Arabidopsis thaliana: one gene and its partner. The protein of the gene in region 2 interacts with the protein of the main gene of each other region in a pairwise test. Each region holds a gene or a part of one and is shown on either strand. Other genes may lie near its edges. The genes, in order: UBP16 and SHM1.

Region 1 (12,489 bases), 5.2 Mb from region 2:
TAGCTCTTAATGAAGACCTAAACATAGGAAGAGGAGGGAGATCAGTATATGGTATTTCTTGTTTCACCCCTTTAAATCATCTTTATTATATTTGGAAGGAATCAACGTCATATTCTATCTTGTCTCACTCTTTGAAATCTTGGTGTCTCTTTCTGTGACATTTGGCGTTGACAATGCTTAAATGTCAACTAAGCTGTATGTTCCACTTACAAACTTCCCTCATAAGTCATAACCCAATTCGTAAATATATGTAGTTACTCTTGTAGCATTTTTTCTGCATCTTTGAGGCACATCAGTATCAACTGGGGATTGATCTATTAATACAATCTAACCCTTGGTAACATCACACTTGAAATGTTGCAGATTATAGGAGTTCTTCAGGTTCAGGGGTGATACTTGATGATTGTAACTTTCATGAGTCTGTTCGTCTGGATAGCTTCGATTCAGATAGAACTTTGTCCCTGGTGAGCGTCAAAATATTTAGTACAGAAAACATCTTGTAATAGCATGTTGTATTAGTCTTTAACTTGCGTTCTGTTTTCAGGTTCCACCAGATGGTGAATTTCCAGTAATGAATTACCGTATGACTCAGGAGTTCAAGCCTCCTTTTCATGTTAATACCTTGATTGAAGAGGCTGGACGTCTTAAGGTGAAATTTCATGCGTACATGTCTTCTGAGTCAGATAAAAACTGCGTATATTTCTTAATTGCTCTATAAATATTTTTCTGTTTGCTGAAATTTAGGCTGAAGTGATTATTAAAATACGCGCTGAGTTCCCTTCAGACATAATTGCAAACACAATCACTGTTCAGATGCCATTGCCAAATTATACTTCCAGGTACATAACTTTTTGATTGGTTTGTACAAGTGCATCACTGAGATATTGTACATGAGGAAGAGAATACGATGAATTTATTTAAATTCCAGCTATAGTGATATACCGAATTCTGAATCACACAAGAAATAGAATCAACGATTATGTTTATTGTGACAGGGCTAGTTTTGAGTTAGAACCCGGTGCTGCTGGACAGAGGACAGATTTCAAGGAATCCAACAAAATGCTTGAATGGAATTTAAAAAAGGCAAGTGTTAAATCTCTCACGTGGTTTGCTAGTTTAGGTATATATTGAACTGTATGTTGCTTCCATGAGCTAACTGTGGCATTCCAGATTGTTGGCGGGGGTGAGCATACACTGCGTGCAAAGCTTACATTTTCACAGGAATTTCATGGTTACCCTCTAAGACAAAAGTTTGTAATGTTTGTTCTCTCAGGGGAAAATAAAGCATTACTGATAATTCTCAATTCGTTGTAGGTAATATCACAAAGGAAGCAGGGCCAGTCAGCATGACGTTCACGATACCTATGTACAATGTTTCTAAACTTCAGGTAAGTAATATGCCGATTCTTGCATTGCCATTAACCGTCCTCTTCGATCATTAACGCTAATGAATTGGGTGATGCAGGTCAAATACTTGCAGATAGCAAAGAAATCAAGTAGTTATAATCCATATCGTTGGGTGAGATATGTGACACAGGCGAATTCTTATGTGGCTAGGATATGACCTGTTTTCAGATAATGTTTATCCTTCACTTGTATGTCTAAGTACTTTCTCTTTTCATTTTCGGATCACACTTGCTTCACAGTACTGTGTTGAATGTTGTCTCTTCTATTTGGATACTTTCTTGTTTCGGTATCAACATATATGGCTATATGCTTTTATTTTGTTTGCCCCTGAAAACATCATATGATCTCTTTTCTTGGAACTGGCAAAATTGCATCTTTTGGGATTTTTCTTGAATTTCTGAACTGAACTGAATCCAAAGATTCAAAGTTAAGCAAATTGCAAAAGAAATAAAGGTGCAACGATGAGACAATATTAGATTAGCTTTATTGATTGATTATAATAAAAGTCAAAACAACTTATTAACAAAGGTAAATTCCGTTCCATTACGTGATACAATTTCATGGGCAAAAACTCTCTTCCCCACTATACACTACTATATACCACCACTTCTCTCATTAACCACTTTCACCAAGCCTAAATACGGGTTGTTAATAAAACCACTCAATCTACGTGTAATCAAATCTACTTTCTTCTACTACTTTTGACTTAGTTGGGGCCAAGTGGACAAAAAACCATCTTGTTTCCCTTACCTTTCTCCTCCCAAGGGCAACTGATGTCTTGAGGTTCCGTAAGTTTCTGGAGAAGAACGACTGAGCGGCGAACGCCTTGTGAAGGGGGGAGAAGATGAGGAAGACGATGATGTTGGTGAGGGAGTCTCAGACTGTCCGTGAGCCCGTCCCTGATGATCTCCAAAAATGAAATCAGCAAAGTCGTCCATGCTTGTACTGTCTGTGCTACAAGAGCATTCATCTGAGTTGCTGTCAAAGAGAGATGAACTGTCACTCGCCGAGTCTTCTTCTAAAATCTTCTGCAGCCTCTGGAAACTAGAATAAAATGACTGTATATTGCCGGATCGACCACCACCAGGCGTGTTGGAAGACAACTCAGGACTTGAAGTAGACACAGACCGGGATATGGTACTTTTCTCATTAGCCTTAGGTAGTGGCACTCTGCTTTTTTTATTGGATGCTTCAGTTTTGGTACATACTGCTAATCTTGGAGGCGTTGGAGTGCACCTGCAGTCAATTCATTCGATATATACCATCATAAGTAACCAGATCGAGCATAATCCACAACTTTAAAGAGTGTGAGAGATGCATTATAATATTATTTACCTTGCGTAGAACAACATATACGCTCCCTTTGTCAAGATCCTTTCCACATCCGAAGTTACTACCTGACAATAATCAATGCACAACAGAGGAATTAAACATTGAAATTTTCTTCAAATGTATGATGCAGATATATGGATGATGACGAGAAGAGACCAGTCAATGAGTAGAAGCCAAAACATTTTCTCTCACAAAACCAATCCTACGACTCTTCAGACTACAACAAAGATAGAAACCCCAATGGAACCAGCTAGAATATCCTTTCTAGAAAACAACTTCAGCATATAAAAGGAAGGGGAAAATTATATAATACTTATCCATTCAAAATTTCAAACTAAGAAACTCATCACTGAAAAGGAAGAAGCAGAAAATTGTAAACCTAAAATGCTGTCATAGAAGTAAGATACTCCTAGTTAATTCCAAAGTTCATCAAATAACAAACTCAAGTAAAAAGGGAACAAAAAATCGAGCTTACTTATAAACTAATTCGCAAACAACATTCCATTGATAATATATGAGAAACTTACCGTGCTATCATCAGCCTTGTACCACTTATTTTGGTTTCTAATATAGCAGACATAATGGCCAGAAAATGCTGCATTCATTACATCCAAGTGAACAATAACTCCATAGAGTTTGTAGTCATGTGATTTTTCACTTCCCCCACTGACATATGGAGCCAAATCTAGAGTTTCTGGAAACCTAATCAACTTATTGAGCTTCCCGAATTTCCCTGCCTTTAAGAATCAAGTGTCGCAAAATTGTGAGAAACAAGAGAATCCAGATAGAACTAAACAGAAACAAACCGGGTATTCATTGAAGATATAAGTTACCTGGAATCGTTTTAGTGCAATGGTAAGGACATTCGGAGGCTCTGTTATTTTCAGCTTCTTTTTGGCTCTCTCATAGGATTTACAGCTGCTCACAGGAAAATAAAAAAATTGAGTAAGCACCCATCAATCATTGAATGTAAAATCGTACTGCCAGGATTTACATAAGAGGTTACAGGTGATTAGTTAAAACTACGCAAATGAAAGACCATGATAGTACTTCAAAAACATTCTGTCTTCATAAGCTAGAAGGGAATTTTATTGCAGCTGGTCGTGGAATCTAGGTATTGTAATTGAAATATATGAAAGGGAATACTTTGGCAGGCCATGAACTCTACTTCAGCTGCCCATGAACTTTAAATCAATCGGTATCATACCCAACTCAGAACCATATATAAAGCTCATGTAAAACTCTATCCTCAGAACCATGAAAAGATAATTCGAAATATCAAAGGACCACACGAAGTTCAACACATGGAAAGGAATGCTGACCAACCTGCCACATCTGTATTTGTTCTCTCCATCCAATATCTCAGTCCTTGTAAATCGACGCAAAGCATCATCCAGGGTGCTAATATCTCCATCAATCTCAACCGTTAGATCCATCATTTTCTCACGCAGCTCAGATTTTACTTGACATTTCATGCATTTAATCTGGCAGAGATCATAAGTACCAGGATTACAACTCCCTCCAAAACAAAGTAAAATGAGTAAAGTACAAATGTTGTAGGTAATGATACCTTTGACCGGAGGTATCCCCCAAATGTCAAACCAATAAGAGTTGTATCTTCTAATTTGCTACTCTTGGTCATATCATATTCAGATGCCTTAATGCACACAGACTGCATTGTATCGACAACAAACCTGCAAATTGCAAGGAAAATGAAATTAACACAGATCTTCCAGTTATAATAAAGATATATGCAACAAAGTTTGCTCAATTTCAGAAATGTCAGTTCACCTAAGGAATTCATGTGCATCTTCTTCCTTGCCATTCCCAAGAAAGATTCCAATATTCTGCAGCTGAGATAGCAAGCCATTAGGGGACAGTGGAGACTTCTCTTCTTTTGCCTTTACGACCAGCTTCTCAAACCCACAGGTGAAGCACTGTTCTTTTTTTGTACCTATAGTTAAACGACTTATTAAAGGCTTGATATATTGATGATAATAAAAAATAACCTTCCAAAATAAGCAGCAAAAAGAAAAAAGACTTAGAACCAGTGACGCACATGCTCTGGAATGAAATTGCTGGAGGAAGTATGTCGTCAGAGGAGGAGTGAACATAAGGCATTGAAAGACAACATTAGCAAAGCAGCTGCAAGAAACAGAGTATATTCTTGCATCAGCGAGTGTAAGCTACACATTTACTTTACATTTTTTACACCACAAGCTGAAGATTATAACAGCTAAAAACGACTAGAAAAAGAGGAAATTGGAATTACCTATTGCCAACGTTGATGAGGCCACAAGGCTGGAACTCAATTTTATATGTATACAGTTTAGCAAAGACTTCATATGGAAAGAGCCCCTGCATGTCACCAAAAGATTGATAAGAAAAATAGCTTTGCTGATTTGTTAATGTAGGAACTAAGTATTGCATAATGATGATAACATCCTAGAACTCAGTGATTACCTTATGACCATGTCTTCCTGCCATCTCATTTTCAGACTTCGGTCTGGTCCACTGGTCTACAACTTTCAGTACTGATGCCTTTAAACCACTTCTTCCATGTAGAGAATTTATATGCTGAACGACAGCACCATTCTGTTTCTGATGATCAAGAACTCTTACCGATTTTGCACCTAAAGGAGAATGCTTCATAAGATCAGCACACTTCTTGGTATTCGAGGCCTTGGATGCCAAAAGTTGGACTTCCCCAACCTTCAAAGGGGCCAACATAGAGCCATTTTCACTACTAGCGCTCTTTGACTTCGGAAGGGTCACATGGGACAAATTAGAAGAGTCCAAAGGACTCAGCGCATCAGTAGAAGAGGAAATTGGTAATGCAATTTCAGCTTCATCAAATCTTTTAGCATTTCTTTCTCTTAAGTTTACTCCATCAGATATATAACCAGTCCCCCTAGGAGCTTCTTTTAAAATGCTACTCCTCTGCTCAGAAACTTTAGCAGCTGAGGTGTCTCTAGAGGAGCCAGAGCCAAAGGAGAAATGCAGAGAGGAGTTACCAGGTCTACCAGATTTAGATTTAACACAAGAATCACTCACACGTTCGGCTGATCCAAGAGCCGTACCCCAAAAATCAGATGACTTCAGAGATGGGTCAGCTGATACTGGATGCCTATCCGTAACTAATGAGTGTAAGCTCCTTGATTGGCTCTGGTTCTGCCCAGCATCATCCTCAGGTTTATGTACACTTAATTTAGGCAGATTAGCGAGATTATCTACAGATTCAACCAAGTGCACAAATTTTGGAGACAACAGTTTGGATGGAGCATCTTCAATGGTGCTGAAACAGGTGTCTTCTGGCTCTACAGAGACATGAGCATCAAGTAGGGACTCTGATCTCTCGGATTCAGATGAACTGAAGCTCTCACAACGAGAAATCTCGTCGCCAGAGTCATTACGGGGGGAGGAGGAGAAGCCAGAAAACGAGGATCCAGATGTTTCAGCAACAGAAACAGCTTCTTCCTTATCTATAAGGTCATCTTTGTTATCTGCAATATCTCCATTCCCATCTTCAGGAGATCTGGCACGATTAGATAATAGTGATTCCCCGATTGGTATAGTAACTGGTTCTGGACCCACCAGTAAAGTTTCCTCAGGAGTATTTTGTCCATTTTCTTCTCCTAATCTCAAATCGGAATCACTCTCATCTTCACTATCATATACAATGGAAGCAGGATGACATTCATCTTTGTGACCTTGCCGCCAGTGAATGATTTGACATTTCCCGGAACTGGAAAAAAAATAACAAAAACGAAACAACTATCACTAAGATATGTAGGTAACGAAATTTCACATGCGCTAAGGGGAAAAGGTTGAAAATTTGATAGACATTATAGTACATTTCTTAAGCTATCTAATTGAAATAAATTCCTCAGCAGCACATAGTTAGTTACTCACAGATAAGCCATGAATCAAATACTAAACTTCCTCCCAAGCTAACTAATTACCCATAATTTTGTTAACATAGAAAAAGAAGTCAATTTTCTTAAATCTCTGATCCAGTATCGCTAAAGTTACAGAACTAACTTATATTCTTTGCCTACTAATCACTCCAATTCATCACGTCTCAGCAGAGAGTGCAGCAGATGCAATCATAACTCTAAGATCATACAACGTAATTTGGACATGGAGAAAGTGAGAGAATTTTTGCATACCAATATCGAACGGCTTTGCAGCGAGAGCAACGAGTCGTGGCAAGACAATAGCAAACAGGACAATGGAAGACATTAGAGACGGCAACAGAAGAGAACTCAACAGAGGCCTCTAGCTCAGCCCTGGCAGCCTCTTCAGAAGCATGAATAAGAAGTCTTCTAATCTCCTCCCTTCTTTGGGCAGCGACCCTCCATTTGTGACGAACAAAGAGACCGATCAAAGGTAAAACAAGAGAGACCACAAGGACTAGACTAGAAATCCCTAGATCCAAAACAAGGAGCATTTATCCTCCACCAGATGCACAAACAATTGGAAATAAATCTGAGCACCAACCATAGATTTCACCGGCGAATAAGCCGGGAACAGAGGTGACAGTGAGGATCAGTCCGGCGATTTAGCACATGCAGAGAGAGCGAGAGAGAGAAGCCAGGAATCGATGGAAGTTATAATTTTTTCGCTGGTGGGTAAGCTTCCAAAATGATGACCCAAGAAAATCCAAAGATGAGAAGGAATAAAGAAAACCCTAGAGAGCACAAGTTGGGTTTTCTATTGTTCTCTGGGAAAAAGTTGAAAAAATCTGGTGCTTCTGGTTTAGGGTTTCGAAAGAGGGCAAGAGTGGAGAGATTCTTCGGTAGAAGGACGAAGAAATTAGGAGGCAGTATATTACTTTTCTATACCAAGACGCTTTGCTTTTTCATTTTACCAGACCAGACAACCTTTTTTTTTTTTTGCTCTAACGTCATTTGGAAATCATATTTTTATTACCAGGAAGCCCTTCTTTTAAAAACAAAATAAGAATAATAGTTCAACGGAAATATGAATTTGCATGTTGACAATGATAAAAAGTTATGAATTAGTCAATTAAAAAAGTGTGTAAGTTATGTATTAGTCAATTAAAAAAGTGTGTATGATGGGATATTGTAGCTATCTATTATATATGTATATTTAGTGCCATTTTCGTGTCACACCATGTCTTCATTTTTATTTTTCTTTACCATGTGTTATACTTTTTTGTTATAAAAAGTTGATATATATATATTATCGCTTAACTTTTTTTAAGTAACTATAAAATGGGTATCATATATAACAAACATATATAAGTATTTTGCAATTTATGCGATATATAAAAATAAAATAAAATAAATCTACACGATTCTATATGTTATATTATAAAGATCACGCCATATTATTCTATCTATAAGAATACAACGTACGGGATTATATATGATAGACGATTGTATTTGCGGGACATTGAGATGTTTCCGAAAATAGTCATCAAATATCAAACCAGAATTTGATGTGAAAACACTAATTAAAACATATAATTGACAACTAGACTATATCATTTGTTAAGTTGAGCGTTGAAAGAAAATGAAAGAGTGTAGACTGTAGTATGTATGAGTTTCCCAAAGGATGGTGCTTGAATATTATTGGGAAGAGACTTTGGTTGGTTCGGTTGAATGAAGATTTTTACCTGCCATGTTGATAGAGAAAGGCAAATAAATGTAGGGGTCGATGTCTAACGTAAAGACTGGATCAACCAAGAGTCCTCCTCCTCGTCTTCACCAAAAAAAAAGAGTCCTCCTCGTGGAAACTTATTTCTTCTCCAGCCAAGATCTCATCTCATCTCTTCACTCTATGAAATATAAAGGAATCTTATGGTTTTTCTAAAAACTATAGTACGTCTATATACCAAAGGAAACAATATAAAATCAGTTAATCTGATAAATTTTGAGTAAATAATAAAGTTAACTTTGTACTTACCTATATCAAACTAATTCACAAAATAAAGTAATAATAACAAAGAATTTTTAGTAGATCCACAATATACACACACACTATGAGAAATCATAATAGAGAATTTTAATGATTTTGTCTAACTCATAGCAACAAGTCGCTTTGGCCGAGTGGTTAAGGCGTGTGCCTGCTAAGTACATGGGCTCTGCCCGCGAGAGTTCGAATCTCTCAGGCGACGTTTCTTTTGTTTTCGGCCATAAAGGAAAAAGCCCAATTAACACGTCTCGCTTATAAGCCCATAAAGCAAACAATGGGCTGTCTCTGTCTCACTCACACACGCGTTTTCCTACTTTTTGACTATTTTTATAACCGGCGGGTCTGACTTAATTAGGGTTTTCTTTAATAATCAGACACTCTCTCACTCGTTTCGTCAACATTGAACACAGACAAAACCGCGTCACAAAACAAAACTCGCTACAAATAAATACCTTTGTTTCCCTCTTCTTCTCCTTCACTCACAACATCTCAATTTCATTCTCTCTTCTCTCTCCAATTTCACAACAATGGGAGTCAAAAGTTTCGTTGAAGGTGGGATTGCCTCTGTAATCGCCGGTTGCTCTACTCACCCTCTCGATCTAATCAAGGTTCGTCTTCAGCTTCACGGTGAAGCACCTTCCACCACCACCGTCACTCTCCTCCGTCCAGCTCTCGCTTTCCCCAATTCTTCTCCTGCAGCTTTCCTGGAAACGACTTCTTCAGTCCCCAAAGTAGGACCGATCTCACTCGGAATCAACATAGTCAAATCGGAAGGCGCCGCCGCGTTATTCTCAGGAGTCTCCGCTACACTTCTCCGTCAGACGTTATATTCCACCACCAGGATGGGTCTATACGAAGTGCTTAAGAACAAATGGACTGATCCTGAGTCAGGGAAGTTGAATCTGAGTAGGAAGATCGGTGCAGGGCTAGTCGCTGGTGGAATCGGAGCCGCCGTTGGAAATCCAGCTGACGTGGCGATGGTTAGGATGCAAGCTGACGGGAGGTTACCTTTAGCGCAACGTCGTAACTACGCCGGAGTAGGAGACGCAATCAGGAGCATGGTTAAGGGAGAAGGCGTAACGAGCTTGTGGCGAGGCTCGGCGTTGACGATTAACCGAGCGATGATTGTGACGGCGGCTCAGCTAGCGTCTTACGATCAGTTCAAGGAAGGGATATTGGAGAATGGTGTGATGAATGATGGGCTAGGGACTCACGTGGTAGCGAGTTTTGCGGCGGGGTTTGTTGCTTCGGTTGCGTCTAATCCGGTGGATGTGATAAAGACGAGAGTGATGAATATGAAGGTGGGAGCGTACGACGGCGCGTGGGATTGTGCGGTGAAGACGGTTAAAGCGGAAGGAGCCATGGCTCTTTATAAAGGCTTTGTTCCTACAGTTTGTAGGCAAGGTCCTTTCACTGTTGTTCTCTTCGTTACGTTGGAGCAAGTTAGGAAGCTGCTTCGAGATTTTTGATACCATTCTTTTATTGATGATGATGATGGCGACTATTTATATTGATTTATTCATTTTTGAAATAGTGAACACAAGAAGGAACTAGGAAGAGGGGGATTCAATATATTTTTTGTTCAAGCATTGTTGTTAAATACAATTCAATTTTAGTTTCTATACTGATGTGAAATGTCACTACCAAAACAACAGATCCAACGCACAGTTAAAACACAACAAAAAAAGAGAGTGTAGTTTATTTGGTCTTAAAAAAATGCTGAAGCAAGATAAGAATGAGACTAAAAAGAAGAAAGAATCTGTTATTTGGTTGTTGGGGGGTGACGAATAAGCATAACTGGAGGTGGTGTTGTTAAATGGCGGCTGTACATCTGAGGGAAGGGGTTGTTGATAAAGAGTATCATCTGGAGAAGGTCCTTGGTGTAGTGTTGGGATGGTTTCCTCCAGATGATCCTCTGCCTCTGTCTCCTCCGTTCTCGGATCTTCCTCTGTCAAGAATGTGAGGGCTCTGTAGTTTGCTGCTGTCTGGATCCTGGTTCGACCCTGATCCTTTTTCAGTTTCCTCTGATACACGGTTTTGTCCCGAGGTTGGACTGGGTTGCCCTAGGGTTTTTCCTTTGTCCATGTTTTGGAGCTCGTTCGCGATCTGACTACGTCTCTCCTTGAGGAAGTTGAGTCTCATTGTCAATTTGGAAAGTGCAGAAGTTGTTGTTGTGCTTCCCTGTTTATTTCACTCAGTTTCTAGCTTTGAACGATATTTGGATGAAATTTAATGGTTACACTATGAAACTTACCTCTCCCTTTGTGCCAGACCTCTTTGACAAGCCCACCAGTTTTGAGCTGCCACGTGATGTTTCTTGTTGCGAGCTTTTGCTCCGTGAATCCTGTTGCTTCTCTGTCTCATTTTCTCTTGCAGCCCCTTGCCCATCCTGCAATATGTTACCCGTCTGTAGAGGATAAATACAGAGGAAGAAAACACAAAATTGATAGACAAATGTTTACAGTGGTTACCTTGGACGTTGATCTTTCAGAAATGTGAGTAGAGGCTGCTTCAGTATCTTTTTGTTTCTCCTTCCTGAGTGACAAATTTGAAAGAAGACGAGTAATTAGCTTTGATATTATTTAAACCATAGGTTGTGAGGTTAAATGTGAATCTGTTGATGAATCCGTACATCTTCGCATTGTGCTCTGGCAATTTCCGAGATTCTTTGCTGGCACTATGCGTAGAACCAGAGGCTTTTCCGTCATGGTGACCAAGCCTATTTTCAAGATCATCAACCTTATGTTCCAACTTGGCAATATCAGCCTCCGCTTGAGCTACCTCTTGCAGATCTTTCTTCAACTGTAAAATGTCTCCCAAGTTAGATATATGTACTTTTAGCCTGACAAAAATCAACTAGTTGCTAGACAAAAATGAAGAGGAGCAACATTTTCATCGATTGTTTCTGGAATAGGTTGATTCCCTTTTGACATGTTCAGTCCTGTTTCCAGAGCTAATTTCCTGTCTCTCTCTTGCTGCAACTGTTCTTGTAGTCTTCCCACCTAGTCAAAGGTAAAGCACATTCATATAACTAAAATTTAAACACTCAATAAATAACAAACTTCACATTGCTAAGATAAGGTTTTATTTTACACTTACATCTTGCTCTAGTGCTTGGCGCCGCCCGTACAAAGCCTTCTTCCGTCGCTCCAAACTAGCCTGTAGAACTGCATTGCTTTTTACCTGTTGTACCAAACATGGAGGTTGTTAGAGATCACATACTCGTCAAAATCACCACCTGTATAGCACACCGAGTTCGCAAAAGCAAAAATACTCAAAAGGACTTATCGTGACCTCTTCTGTAATTCTGCTTTGCAGCTCTAATTTGGTTGACTCAAGTCTCTCAATGTCAGCACTGCAGAATATTAACATTGTCAGAAGAAGAACCATGTAGACCACATTAATTCTAGTCCAAACAAATTTGAAGTTTTGAAAGAAACATAAAGATGTAAATCATTTGTAGAGATGATGATACTTACTTGTCCTCGTCCACTTCCACTGAGAAATCAATAGATTCCATTGACAAGTTTTTCTTCCCCTGAGCACATAAAACACCAAACGTTTACTAAATGTCTGGATCCCTTAAGAGATAGGTAATAAAGGCAGAGGAAAAAGAAACTTACAGGGGTACGGCCCCAGTGCCTTTTACTTCCTCCCGGTGCATCGGATAACTTAGACGGTTTCTGAGTGTCAGATGCCACATCTGACGTTGATGAATTCTTATCCTCACTTGTCGAGACCTCTACAACAGCCTTTACCTCTGTATTATTAACTCCCTTAACCACGATATCCTCATCCTTTTTGCCGTCA
Region 2 (10,702 bases):
GTGTGCATCTTTATGTTACTTACGTGTATAATGCTTTAGGGTCCTTAGCTTCGTGGTCATCACCAGGAGAGAATGCTGTAGCTAGGGCAGAGAATCGTTCTTCGGGGTCTGTTATGTTGAGTAAGTACTTTAAAAGTTTGATCTCTTTCGGTGTGATGCTTCTAAGACTGCTCTTTGTAGCTTTGTATAAATGATACATTATGTCTTTAGCCTGTTCAAAAAATACGATATCGATTTGAGAAGATTGTGAAGAATATTAAAGAAGATTGTAATCCAATGGCTATTACCTCGTTCGTAACAGTTTGAGACTCTTTTGCAGCAGCGTATGCACTGTTGATCAATAAGATCAATGAGGAATCAAGCTCCTTTGCCTTGGCTAAACTTCTGATCTTTTCGCAAGCAGAATCCACGGATGGAGAGTTTAAAATATCTTCAAACTTTGCTTGAGCAGTATCTAGAGTCTCAACACTCTCCAACGTGTTGTCATAAGCACTCACAGCAGATAAACATCTAGTTGCAAGCCTCGCAACAGCTGCTCAAAAATAACAAAACAATCATGAAACTGTGGGAATCAATAAGTAAGCAACATGATTAATGTTTTAAGTACCATCTCGGTCTTCCAAGCCATCAAGAGTTTCTGATAACAAAGTAACATAGCGGAAAAACTCTCCCGTAAAGTCTCTGCGTCTCTTGGCAGCGATTGCGTTTATGTCTGTTGGGTTTTCTTGAATCTCCTTCAAAAGGTCATTGTGTTTCTCCATTTCCTTATCTATCTGCAACAATACTCACTCCTATAAGTACACAACAACAACAATAAACTAACCTGAGTTCACTAATAAACACAAAATACAACACTATAAATACCTTCTTGACTTTACTTTCCAAAGATACCAGTTTCTGCTTCAATATAGGATCAGTTTCGGTATCAGCTCGGATTCTGCAACGCTTATAGAAATTAACACTGTACTTGTTCCATTCATCTCTTAAAACCAAATACGTCTTCCATTGTTTAACTTTAGGTTTCTCATTCAAGAAGAGATCAATAATCTTGTCACAAAACTGAGCCATAGTGTAACCTTCAGCAACCTCAACTTCCATTGGATCCTCAACAGAGCTTTTTACTTCCGCACCTAAACACAAAATTTCTATCTTCAATAAAAAAAGCTTCTCTAACTAGACGAATCCTAGTCTATGAAAAGGGTTTAGCTTATCTAATGGTGACAATTAATACAAATTGGAATCTAAAGAAATAGAATTTATTGGTAATTAGACAGAAAGATTAGAGATTTAGGGTTTATGAGCTTACTTGTAGTGCCATTGTAAGTGACAGTGTCGGTAGCAAAGGTGATAGTTGAGCTTTTGCGTATCTTTCTTCCTCCATTGATGAAAGCAGAGAAAGGGAGATGATGGGTTTGAGAATTCTTAGGCGGGAAAGACAGTAATTTATCAGCAGAGGAGAAAAAGATTGATGTTTCCAGTAAATTCGCCATTTTTTCTCCCTCACAAAGTTCGTCTTGGTGACGAACAACGAGAAACACCAGAGGATAAGAAGAACAGGGTTTTAATTGTAAATAATTAGTAAACGTTGACAAATTCAAAAACTTAATATAACTTTTTGGGTAAAAATGTTAAAACTAACAAGTTTTGCATCAGTTTGAAATCTTTTTAAAAAGAGGCAAGGAGTAAGGAACATGAATGAGCAAGACCAGAATTGAGTTTCTTTGACATTACATATTCACATGACCTTAAGACCTTACATTAACAAGAAAAGACAAAGAAACTTAAGATTGATTATTACAAAAATAATTATAGCATATGTCATGATATATACATATGTTACTTTGTGATAGACAAAATTAAAAAGCATACTACAATATATTTATATTCCCATTACATGATTATAAAATAGAGTTTGTTTCACTAAGCGTCCTCTTGAGGCTGACCATCTCCACCACCTTCAATGTTACTGGTATTGAATTGTACACGAGGCTTTCCCATACTGAAATTAAGAACTCTTGCATCCATATTGTATTGTATTTCTCCATCGAACAACATCTTCCTTATGTAATGTTCTACGTCCGATCCTATCAATCTCAATGTGTACTCCGTTAATGGTGCTCCCTGTTCAAAAACAATATTATAAGGTCTTCTTGAAATGAGTCTAACTTTTAGATGAATGTTTCGTTCGTTTATTGTTATCGTTACCTCGTAGTGATCGACGAGTTCTTGGAAATAAGAATAGACCTTGTTACAGCTTTCATCATCCCACACAAATTCTTCAGTAGGATCAAGAATCAAAGTGAGTTTATCCATTTGTGACTGGTCAAACTCACAAGTCTCTGGATCAATATAAGCAGCGTAGATCCTAACGTGACGTGTGACACTGCTTAGCCACTGACCACCAAAATCGCCCATACCCTTGCTCTTCACGTTCAGCTGTTTCTCCACTGGTCTCAATGGTGTTGGCTGCTTCTTCATCTTCTCTGTTGATTGCTCTTCTTTGAGTGTCTCTGTTTCTTGTACTTCAAGAGTACTGTCTTGTTCCGGATTTGTCACCACGAACGCCTTTTGTGTTGTTCTTGGTCGGATTTGAGCAACCATAGAAGGATGTAATAGAGAAAGCTTGGTGCAGGCAGTGTAAGAGAATGCTGCAACCATTTTTCTGTCTAAGAAATGAAAAAAAAAAAACAGAACAAGTTTTGAGATGTTGTCCGGTTACAGAACCATATTCTTGTAAAGAGATTTGATGAGGTTGAGAAATGACCACAGCTTGTGGATGAGCCTCTCCCAACTTCTAGTTTCTTATTTATCCCTTTCTCGTTTTGTTGGTATTTTGTGGTTACTCTTAAGTCACTTGTGAGCTAAAGACAATCTTCTTTAGGGAATTCACTGTTTTGTTGTATGTGTTTTTTTTGTCTAAGTATATTTCTTTTTGATGTATAGAGAGAAAATTTAACAGATCATTATTTTTCGCATAGCGTGAAAATAGAGTTTTACATGTATCATCTATACATTCCATGGGAATTCAAAGCATAACAGAAAACACTTGTGGGGTGAAACAGTTTAGTTCTTGTACTTCATGGTTTCTTTCTCAAACCCAATTGTTGGGAACTGCTTAGCGAATTCCTCGACTTCATGGCGCAGTTTCGCAATCTCGGATTGGATGGTTGAAGAGGATTCCATTGCTGACACGAAATCCTTCAACTTGGTTCCTGGTTTTAGAAACATAACAAATGAGTTCAATCATTGTATATAAGAACGGAAAGCATAGCATCGTGATCAGAGAAGTAAAAACCTTGAGCTTCAGATTTGACTTTGAGAGCTATTGTCACAGCTTTGTCGAAGTATTCAGCTACTTTGGCAAAGTCTTCCTCAACAAAGCCTCTGGAAGTGAGAGCAGGAGTACCTGAAAATAACAATGGCAGAGGATATCAAGAAGAACTCCATTCGAATACCAAAAAGAAAAATGGTTAAATGTGATTTTTACCCATTCTGATTCCACCAGGAACCATGGCAGAAACATCTCCAGGAACAGTGTTTTTGTTGGATGCAATGTGAACAGCTTCCAACACTTTCTCAACTCTAGATCCATCAATTCCCTGCAAACAAAATCGAATAAAAAATGAGTTTTAACTAAGAAATATAAAAGAAGATTATATACAAAAAAAGATCAAGTGACCTTGGGCTTTAGATTCACTAGAACCAGATGGTTGTCAGTTCCACCAGAAACAAGTTCATATCCTCTCTCCATTAGAGTCTGCACGAAACAACAATGTAGAGATATAATCAAAGTAGATACTACGCCATATGTGTTTTTCTTTCCTTCACGGGATTAGTACCTGAGCAAACTTTGCACTGTTACTCAGGACTTGTTCTTGGTATGCTTTGTACTCTGAAGTAGTTGCCTGCATTTTCAAACCATTTGAAGGTTACAGAAACCGCAAATCCAATAAGCAACGTTAGTTCCATTCCGTGCCTCACCGTACCTGTTTCAAAGCAACAGCTAGTCCTGTGATAGTGTGGTTGTGTGGACCACCTTGAAGACCAGGGAAGACAGCTTGGTTGATCTTGTCTTCAAAATCATACAAAACCTTTCAAGACAACAAATGAATGACGTGAAAGATTATACATAAATCTAAAACATTTTGGTTCAAATTTTGCTTCTTTTTCTTTTTTACCTCTTTCCCTTGCTTGTTAATTTCCTTAACACCCTTTCTGAAGAAAATCATGGCTCCACGGGGTCCACGAAGTGACTTGTGAGTTGTGGTGGTTACAACATCAGCATAGTCGAACGGTGAAGGGATTACATTAGCAGCAACCAAACCACTGATGTGTGCCATATCTGCTAGCATTACAGCTTTTTGCTTGTTACAGACCTGGGAAAAGAGTTCGAATCAAAACTCACTACTGATTACAATAATCTGTTCTGTAGTTGGATATGAGACTGAAATTACCTTTCTGATGCGGGCATAGTCATACAATCTAGCATAAGCACTTGCACCAGCAACAATCAATTTTGGCCTGAAAAGAGTAGCACTTTTCTCCATCTGCAAATCAAAATTAAAGACTTATGTATTGTTATGAAGCGGGTTAGTTATAAGTTACTATGATTGCTTAATAGAAGAGTTAAGAACCTGATCGTAGTCGATGTAGCCAGTGCTCTCGTCCAATCTATAGGGCATTGTTTCAAAGAAGATAGACACAGCTGATATCTTCTTGGTGTCAGTCTGATGAGAAATAAGAAGAAAGAAACTGTTATTCATCAGAGTCAGAGAGTTCCGAAATGACATACAAAGTTAACTTGAAGGCACCTGATAACCATGAGAAAGATGACCACCATGAGGAAGATCAAGTGCCATGATTCTTTCATGAGGCTTTAACAATGCAGTGTACACATGGAAGTTGGCAGGAGATCCAGACAAAGGTTGAACATTCACTGTAAGATCCAGTCAAATAAGCCATCAAAGGACTAATCAGATTTCTTGTTTCTCATATACATGAAAGTAGTAATTTACCTCCCCACTTTTCAGGATCTAACCGGAAAGCTTCAAGAGCGCGCTTCTGGCATAAGGTTTCTGCCATGTCTATATACCTACAAAGCAAAAGGTACTTGAGATTTCAATTCTTATTACAGAGATTGGTCAAGCAATCATGTCCTGAAACTAAATGTGTCAGATTGAAAATTCCTGAACATACTCATTTCCTCCATAGTATCTGGCACCAGGATAGCCTTCACTGTATTTGTTAGTCATGACAGACCCAACAGCTTGCATCACCGACACAGATGTGAAGTTCTCAGATGGAATAAGTTCAAGTCCCTATAATAACACAAGCGTTACAAACATCAGCCTAACTTATAATAATCAATCAAGGAACAAGATTTAAGAGATAGTAATCTCAGAGACAAACTAACCTTCCATTGTCTAGCTTTCTCATGCTCAATAATGTCAGCAATCTCAGGATCAACCTCCTCTAAAGGTGCGTTAAGCTGTTTTGGCCACTGAAACGAACGTTTACAAAGACATAAGTTTCATTAGATTCAGTCACACCAAAAATAGAACTCCATACATCAATTTGAAACAGACATAGAACTTCAACAATCAAAACCATTGCTTCAACCACAAGGAAAACTATAAACAAACAAGAGATACAAAAAGGCGCTTAAACTCACAGTGACACGAGATCTTTCCTTCTCATCAACAGCTTCACTGGGCAAAGAAGACTGCAACGGAACAAACAGAAATCAGAAAAAAAAAAAAAAAAAATCGAAAATTTCCAATCCGATTATAAAATTCGGAGATAAAAGGAAGAAACTTTAGGGTTGTTACCATGTAACATGAAGTGGATCGAATAAGAGGACGAATGGGTTTGTCAATTGAAGAAGAAAGCCTTCGAAGAGCCATGGCCATCGCCATTTTTCGCTAAACCTCTCTCTATCTCTGGTTTGTGAAACCCTAGAAACAGATTTGAAACATGAACGAGAGAGAAGAGAGAACAAAAATAACAAAATTGGGTTTATCTTGTTTGAGAGAATTGTGGCCTCTGCTTTTGGCTGAGCTTTTGGTGGTTGCAGCAAATTTTCGAATTTTTTCCCTCTTTTTTTATTTATATTTTCTTCTGATTTTTATTTTATATTTGTTGTTTCTTTGTCGTTATCTCTCAGGTCCCTGTCTACACCAACCTTTGTGAATTGTGATGATTTGGTGACGACGATGATTTGTTTCCCTTTAAGACAGAACCTTTATTGGTTTCTGGTCAGTGCAGTCAACGATAACCGATTCAGTTATCACACATCAATTTAATTTATATAGTTTCCAAACCGGTTAGTTTGGGGGAATAAGATTAACAGAATTATGGTGAATTTACAAAATAAAACCAACAAAACAAAAAACTTAACAGAAAATGTTTATTTAACATTTTAGAATTACCAAGTGCATGGTTATATATATTAAACAAATTATTGATCTAAGAATATTGATATTTGAGAGAGTTTTGAGGATAATAATTCATATGATTTTTCTCTATTAATTGACGAATCTATGGTTATAAACAAGTACAATATTAATACTCAAGATGAGTATAACAACACCGGATTTTAATTATATATGCTTTAATTATATTTAGGATTGAAAATATGACTATGTTAGAAGAACCATGCTGCTTATCGTACGTGGCTTGGTGTATAGAGGTTTCCAGTTCAAGAACCTTATTCAAACCAAGGCCTTTGGAGTGTTCTTCAACATCATGGTATCTTCCAACTTCAATCTGTGAAAGTTTTTAACGAGTTACATAAAATATATAAAATGCCTAAATGGTGCATGCATGTTTGTGAAACATCAAGATCAATTAAAAAAGTTTACCTCTCTGTTATTCGTTTGCTCTTGGTGGAGTGTCATAATCGGAATGTTCAGGCTGGCTTAGTTGCAGCCGAATCTGAGTGTGTGATTCATCATCCGCAACAGCTACTTCACGGTGTGTAAACCCGTTTGTGTTTGCCATATAAGCCTGAAAGTCGAAGCCATATCACTTCGAAGCTCTTACTCCAAAGAAAATGGAGTTTTTGTAAAACATGATTTGTTACCTTCTTGTAGAGCTCCACATTTTCTTGATGAATCCGTTGTACTTTCCTAGATAAATCGAGGTTTTCCTGATGAATAAGATTCCTCTGCACCACGATCAACAAAAATCCCAAAATTAGAATTGTAACTTTTGGTAGGGGATATTTGTGTGTGTCAGTGTGTGTATATATATATCTCATCATAGTGACCTTTTGGCTTAGTTCTTGGATTTCTTGAGTCAACAGTTGTTCCTGTGAATCCGGAAAAGCAATCGTTCTATTGATTTCCGTTGTGTTCTATAGTCAATCTTTTGAGTAATACACTCCAAAGCATATAATAGAAGGTAGAGTATATGTATTTATGTACCTTTCTCATACGAATTCCACGCAAACTTATCTCAATTTGATTCTCAAGACTGTTTAGCTCGTTAACACTTAAACCATTTAGCTGTTCTCCCATCATTTGCCTGCTTCATAGCAAACATACCGCAATCCATAACTACAAGTTTCTTCATTTCCTTTACATGCCTTCTATATTTTGATCAAAGACTAATTCTTAATACAAAATGTTATAAAAGTTCAAGGCGATACCGATGATTTTCTTGCAAAGCATGCAGTTCTTGTCTTAGAACAGCAGCTTCTCTCTGCCAAAACTGTAACACACAACACAAATAACTCATCAAACTTTGAACAGCTCAGTAAACCAAAATCTCATTTCAAAAATCAAACATCATGCTAAAGCATCAATCAATATATAATCACATATCTTTAGAGTTGTCGCTATATCTATATGTATACCTTGACTTCTGATGCGGGGTTCAATAGTTGTTGTTGCTCGATCTTGCTCTTGTTGTATCTATCAATAACCGACTTCATGCTATTCAAAATATTTAATATTAGTATACCTTGTTCATGGTATATAATTCACTCATATCATATCATCTCTTAGAGTAAATTACGTAAAAGATATTAATTTTCGATCGTGAAGTTTTTCCAAGTACTCCATTAAAAAGCTTTCATACGTAAAGAAAAAACTCATAGCCTAGAAATTTGTGCAATATAGACTTTCCTGCATTGGCAACATTATTTACACACGCTTATATATGTACACATACATACATTTCACATAATGTATATAATCTTGAACTCAGCAGTAATACGAATTTGTTACACAAACTAGATAAACTATATATAAAGTAAGTAGATGTTAGTTTCTTTTTTCAATAAGTAACAAAAACAAATGCTTAAATGTTATTTCTAGGGTGTAGATAAGCAAGAACTTTAAAGGAATCCAGTTCTAAGCTATAAACAAAATGACATAAATGTAATGCATTAGCATGGCACACTTTATTTTAAATCCAAGCAAACAATAACATGGTGTTAGTTAGTTTTAAGAATGGTATATAAACTTGACTAAATATGCTAAGTAATTTCATTTACCAAGAGGTTCGTAAACCCTATGATACATGAGAAATGTTATCAAAAGACAAACGTGAAGAATTAATAATGCTTAAGGTTGATGCTAATATAAAATTCCTCAAGGAAAATAGGGAAAAACAAAAATTCGCATTACCATACTCTTTTATTTGGTTGTTTTAATTGATAAATATGAAATTATATAAATTTTCAAAATATATAATCAAAATATTATATGATTTAGAATTACATGTTTATATATGTTTTCTAATAATTAGTTTTTTATCTCTATATTTTTTTTATATTAATCAAACTTTTAACAAAGAATAACTTACTCAGAAAATAGACAATTATAACGATTTTGCAGATATAAAGTTAAATATACAGAGTAATCTGATCGTTTAGTAATAATATATATGATTATATATAAATATCAAAAACATGTTTATGTTTACGAGTATAAATAGATCATTTTGTTAGTGGGTTAAACTAAATCAGCTTCCAGTTTATTGGATTTGAGAAATTAAGTCCTCTACATACCAATCTTCTAACTCGTGGTCTCCAATTATAATTCTTTTTTAGCTTTCCAATAGTGATGTTTGGGCATTCACACTTGTTTTCTCATCTATTTCTGAAACATATCTAAATTTGGAAAATGCAAACAATGAGCCTTAGTTAGTTATAAGTCAATGTCCATACACATAAACATATGTTAGGAAAGTACTTCAAAACATACTGATGATGGGTACATATAATCACCCAAATATGAAGCAAAGAAACTACTTCAAATTATTTTTTCAGCTTCAAAAATATTACTCTTCTTTAAAACTTCTACCTCATTTTTAATCTTTCTTTGTTGTAAGAAAACTGTTTGTCGGCTATACAAGACACATCTTATTGTACATACGGGAAAATTAATGTAACATGTTCTACGGACCGCCAGATGCGAAAAAATTCCACTATATTTGAATAGATCCCACAGCTACATATATCTCAGTGAATATCACCAAGCCTTCTAATAAACAAAACCGTAGCATAAAATTATATGCATACAGTGGTACACAACATCTCCGTAGATGTACATCCACAAAATCAAGAAGATATAAAGATTTCAGAATGAATAATTTTAAAAGAAGAACCTGGAGCTTGCAAAGTCATAGAGCTTTCCGGTGCTAGAGAAGATGATGAGACCGACCTCGGCATCACAGAGAATAGCTAGCTCTTTGGCTTTCTTGATAAGGCCCTTTCTTCGTTTGGAGAAAGTGACTTGTCTACTCGTTGAATCATCGATCCTTTGGATCACAATCTTCCCTCTTCCCATCAATTTTATCCTCTAATTGAATCTCCTCTGGTTCTTCTCTTTTTTAGGGTTTTTTTTTTTGTAGATCTTACCAAGCCCAAAAGGGAAGGGAATATGAAGATGAACGAATAAGGAGAAAGAGAAAGGTAGAAATAGAGAGAGAGGAAGGTTGAGCCAAGAGTCAACAATCTATTCGAGGAATAAACTAAGTATATATATGCATATGCACACACACACATACACACTCACCTCTCAGTTTGAGACATTTTTGGGTAGATTTAATACATAGAAAAGTACTAAATTTCTAGTCCAAAATTAGTATTTGTGTGTATGATTTTATCAAACCAATGAAATAGAGAGAAGTTCTTATAAAGTTCCTAGGTTAAGAGAATATATAGATATAGCTTAAATGTGTGTCATATATACAACTTTAATCACTGATTCTTTTTTATAGTTTGTTTATTACGGGAGATAGTGGAAACTTAATGGAATTGTTTAGATAAAAAGGAGTGAAATAATATTAAACTTAGTGTGAGTTAGGTAAATTTCCATTATCAATAATATTTCCTTTTTAACATGTCCGTACATTATTTATAATTTATTCTTAAGTCTTATTTCAAATGTCATGTGAAAATAGTGAATGGGCGCATCACAGGACTGTGTTTCTCTGACAAAACCCTCTTGCTTTATATGCTGCTTTACTTAATTTAATTAGTATCTTTTAGAGGTGATTAAAAGAAAATTAAAAATATTCTGGCCCTTTATTATGGTCATAGGAAAACTTATACTATATTAATTAGATCTGTCCAAAAGATATTTACCCAAAAAAGTAAGAGAATGGATTGAACAAAAACATACAGTATTAATCTAGTACAACATATATTAGTCCATATGGCTTTCGGTAGAAATACAAATGAATAAATTATTTT

What was found.
Region 1: the proteins of SHM1 (region 2) and UBP16 interact in binary tests that used the Arabidopsis thaliana proteins (3 or more experiments, as listed by UniProt).

Annotation. Positions count from the first base shown.
Region 1 is NC_003075.7:12,677,340-12,689,828, forward strand, and holds UBP16 (ubiquitin-specific protease 16), read right to left. Parts: upstream 7,638-12,489; 5' UTR 7,190-7,637; coding exon 6,909-7,189; intron 6,485-6,908; coding exon 5,203-6,484; intron 5,098-5,202; coding exon 5,012-5,097; intron 4,885-5,011; coding exon 4,799-4,884; intron 4,694-4,798; coding exon 4,531-4,693; intron 4,434-4,530; coding exon 4,310-4,433; intron 4,224-4,309; coding exon 4,066-4,223; intron 3,658-4,065; coding exon 3,573-3,657; intron 3,477-3,572; coding exon 3,267-3,476; intron 2,805-3,266; coding exon 2,743-2,804; intron 2,644-2,742; coding exon 2,154-2,643; 3' UTR 1,861-2,153; downstream 1-1,860. Other genes in the region: AT4G24550 (Clathrin adaptor complexes medium subunit family protein), read left to right, coding at 1-51, 364-464, 545-649, 745-839, 996-1,083, 1,171-1,231, 1,315-1,388, 1,466-1,564; DIC2 (dicarboxylate carrier 2), read left to right, coding at 9,207-10,148; REN1 (Rho GTPase activation protein (RhoGAP) with PH domain-containing protein), read right to left, coding at 10,540-10,860, 10,934-11,068, 11,151-11,214, 11,312-11,481, 11,568-11,681, 11,779-11,862, 11,974-12,034, 12,159-12,217 and 1 more. UniProt on the Arabidopsis thaliana protein: Recognizes and hydrolyzes the peptide bond at the C-terminal Gly of ubiquitin. Involved in the processing of poly-ubiquitin precursors as well as that of ubiquitinated proteins.
Region 2 is NC_003075.7:17,828,828-17,839,529, forward strand, and holds SHM1 (serine transhydroxymethyltransferase 1), read right to left. Parts: upstream 6,191-10,702; 5' UTR 5,916-6,190; coding exon 5,829-5,915; intron 5,723-5,828; coding exon 5,672-5,722; intron 5,501-5,671; coding exon 5,414-5,500; intron 5,319-5,413; coding exon 5,197-5,318; intron 5,093-5,196; coding exon 5,016-5,092; intron 4,937-5,015; coding exon 4,812-4,936; intron 4,728-4,811; coding exon 4,635-4,727; intron 4,548-4,634; coding exon 4,455-4,547; intron 4,377-4,454; coding exon 4,179-4,376; intron 4,092-4,178; coding exon 3,987-4,091; intron 3,906-3,986; coding exon 3,840-3,905; intron 3,758-3,839; coding exon 3,680-3,757; intron 3,600-3,679; coding exon 3,488-3,599; intron 3,407-3,487; coding exon 3,296-3,406; intron 3,213-3,295; coding exon 3,064-3,212; 3' UTR 2,904-3,063; downstream 1-2,903. Other genes in the region: AT4G37920 (endoribonuclease E-like protein), read right to left, coding at 24-211, 288-532, 608-773, 865-1,130, 1,307-1,490; NdhM (subunit NDH-M of NAD(P)H:plastoquinone dehydrogenase complex), read right to left, coding at 1,921-2,121, 2,206-2,658; AGL21 (AGAMOUS-like 21), read right to left, coding at 6,868-7,005, 7,082-7,165, 7,268-7,309, 7,425-7,524, 7,649-7,710, 7,856-7,934, 9,613-9,794. UniProt on the Arabidopsis thaliana protein: Functions in the photorespiratory pathway in catalyzing the interconversion of serine and glycine. Involved in controlling cell damage caused by abiotic stress, such as high light and salt and the hypersensitive defense response of plants.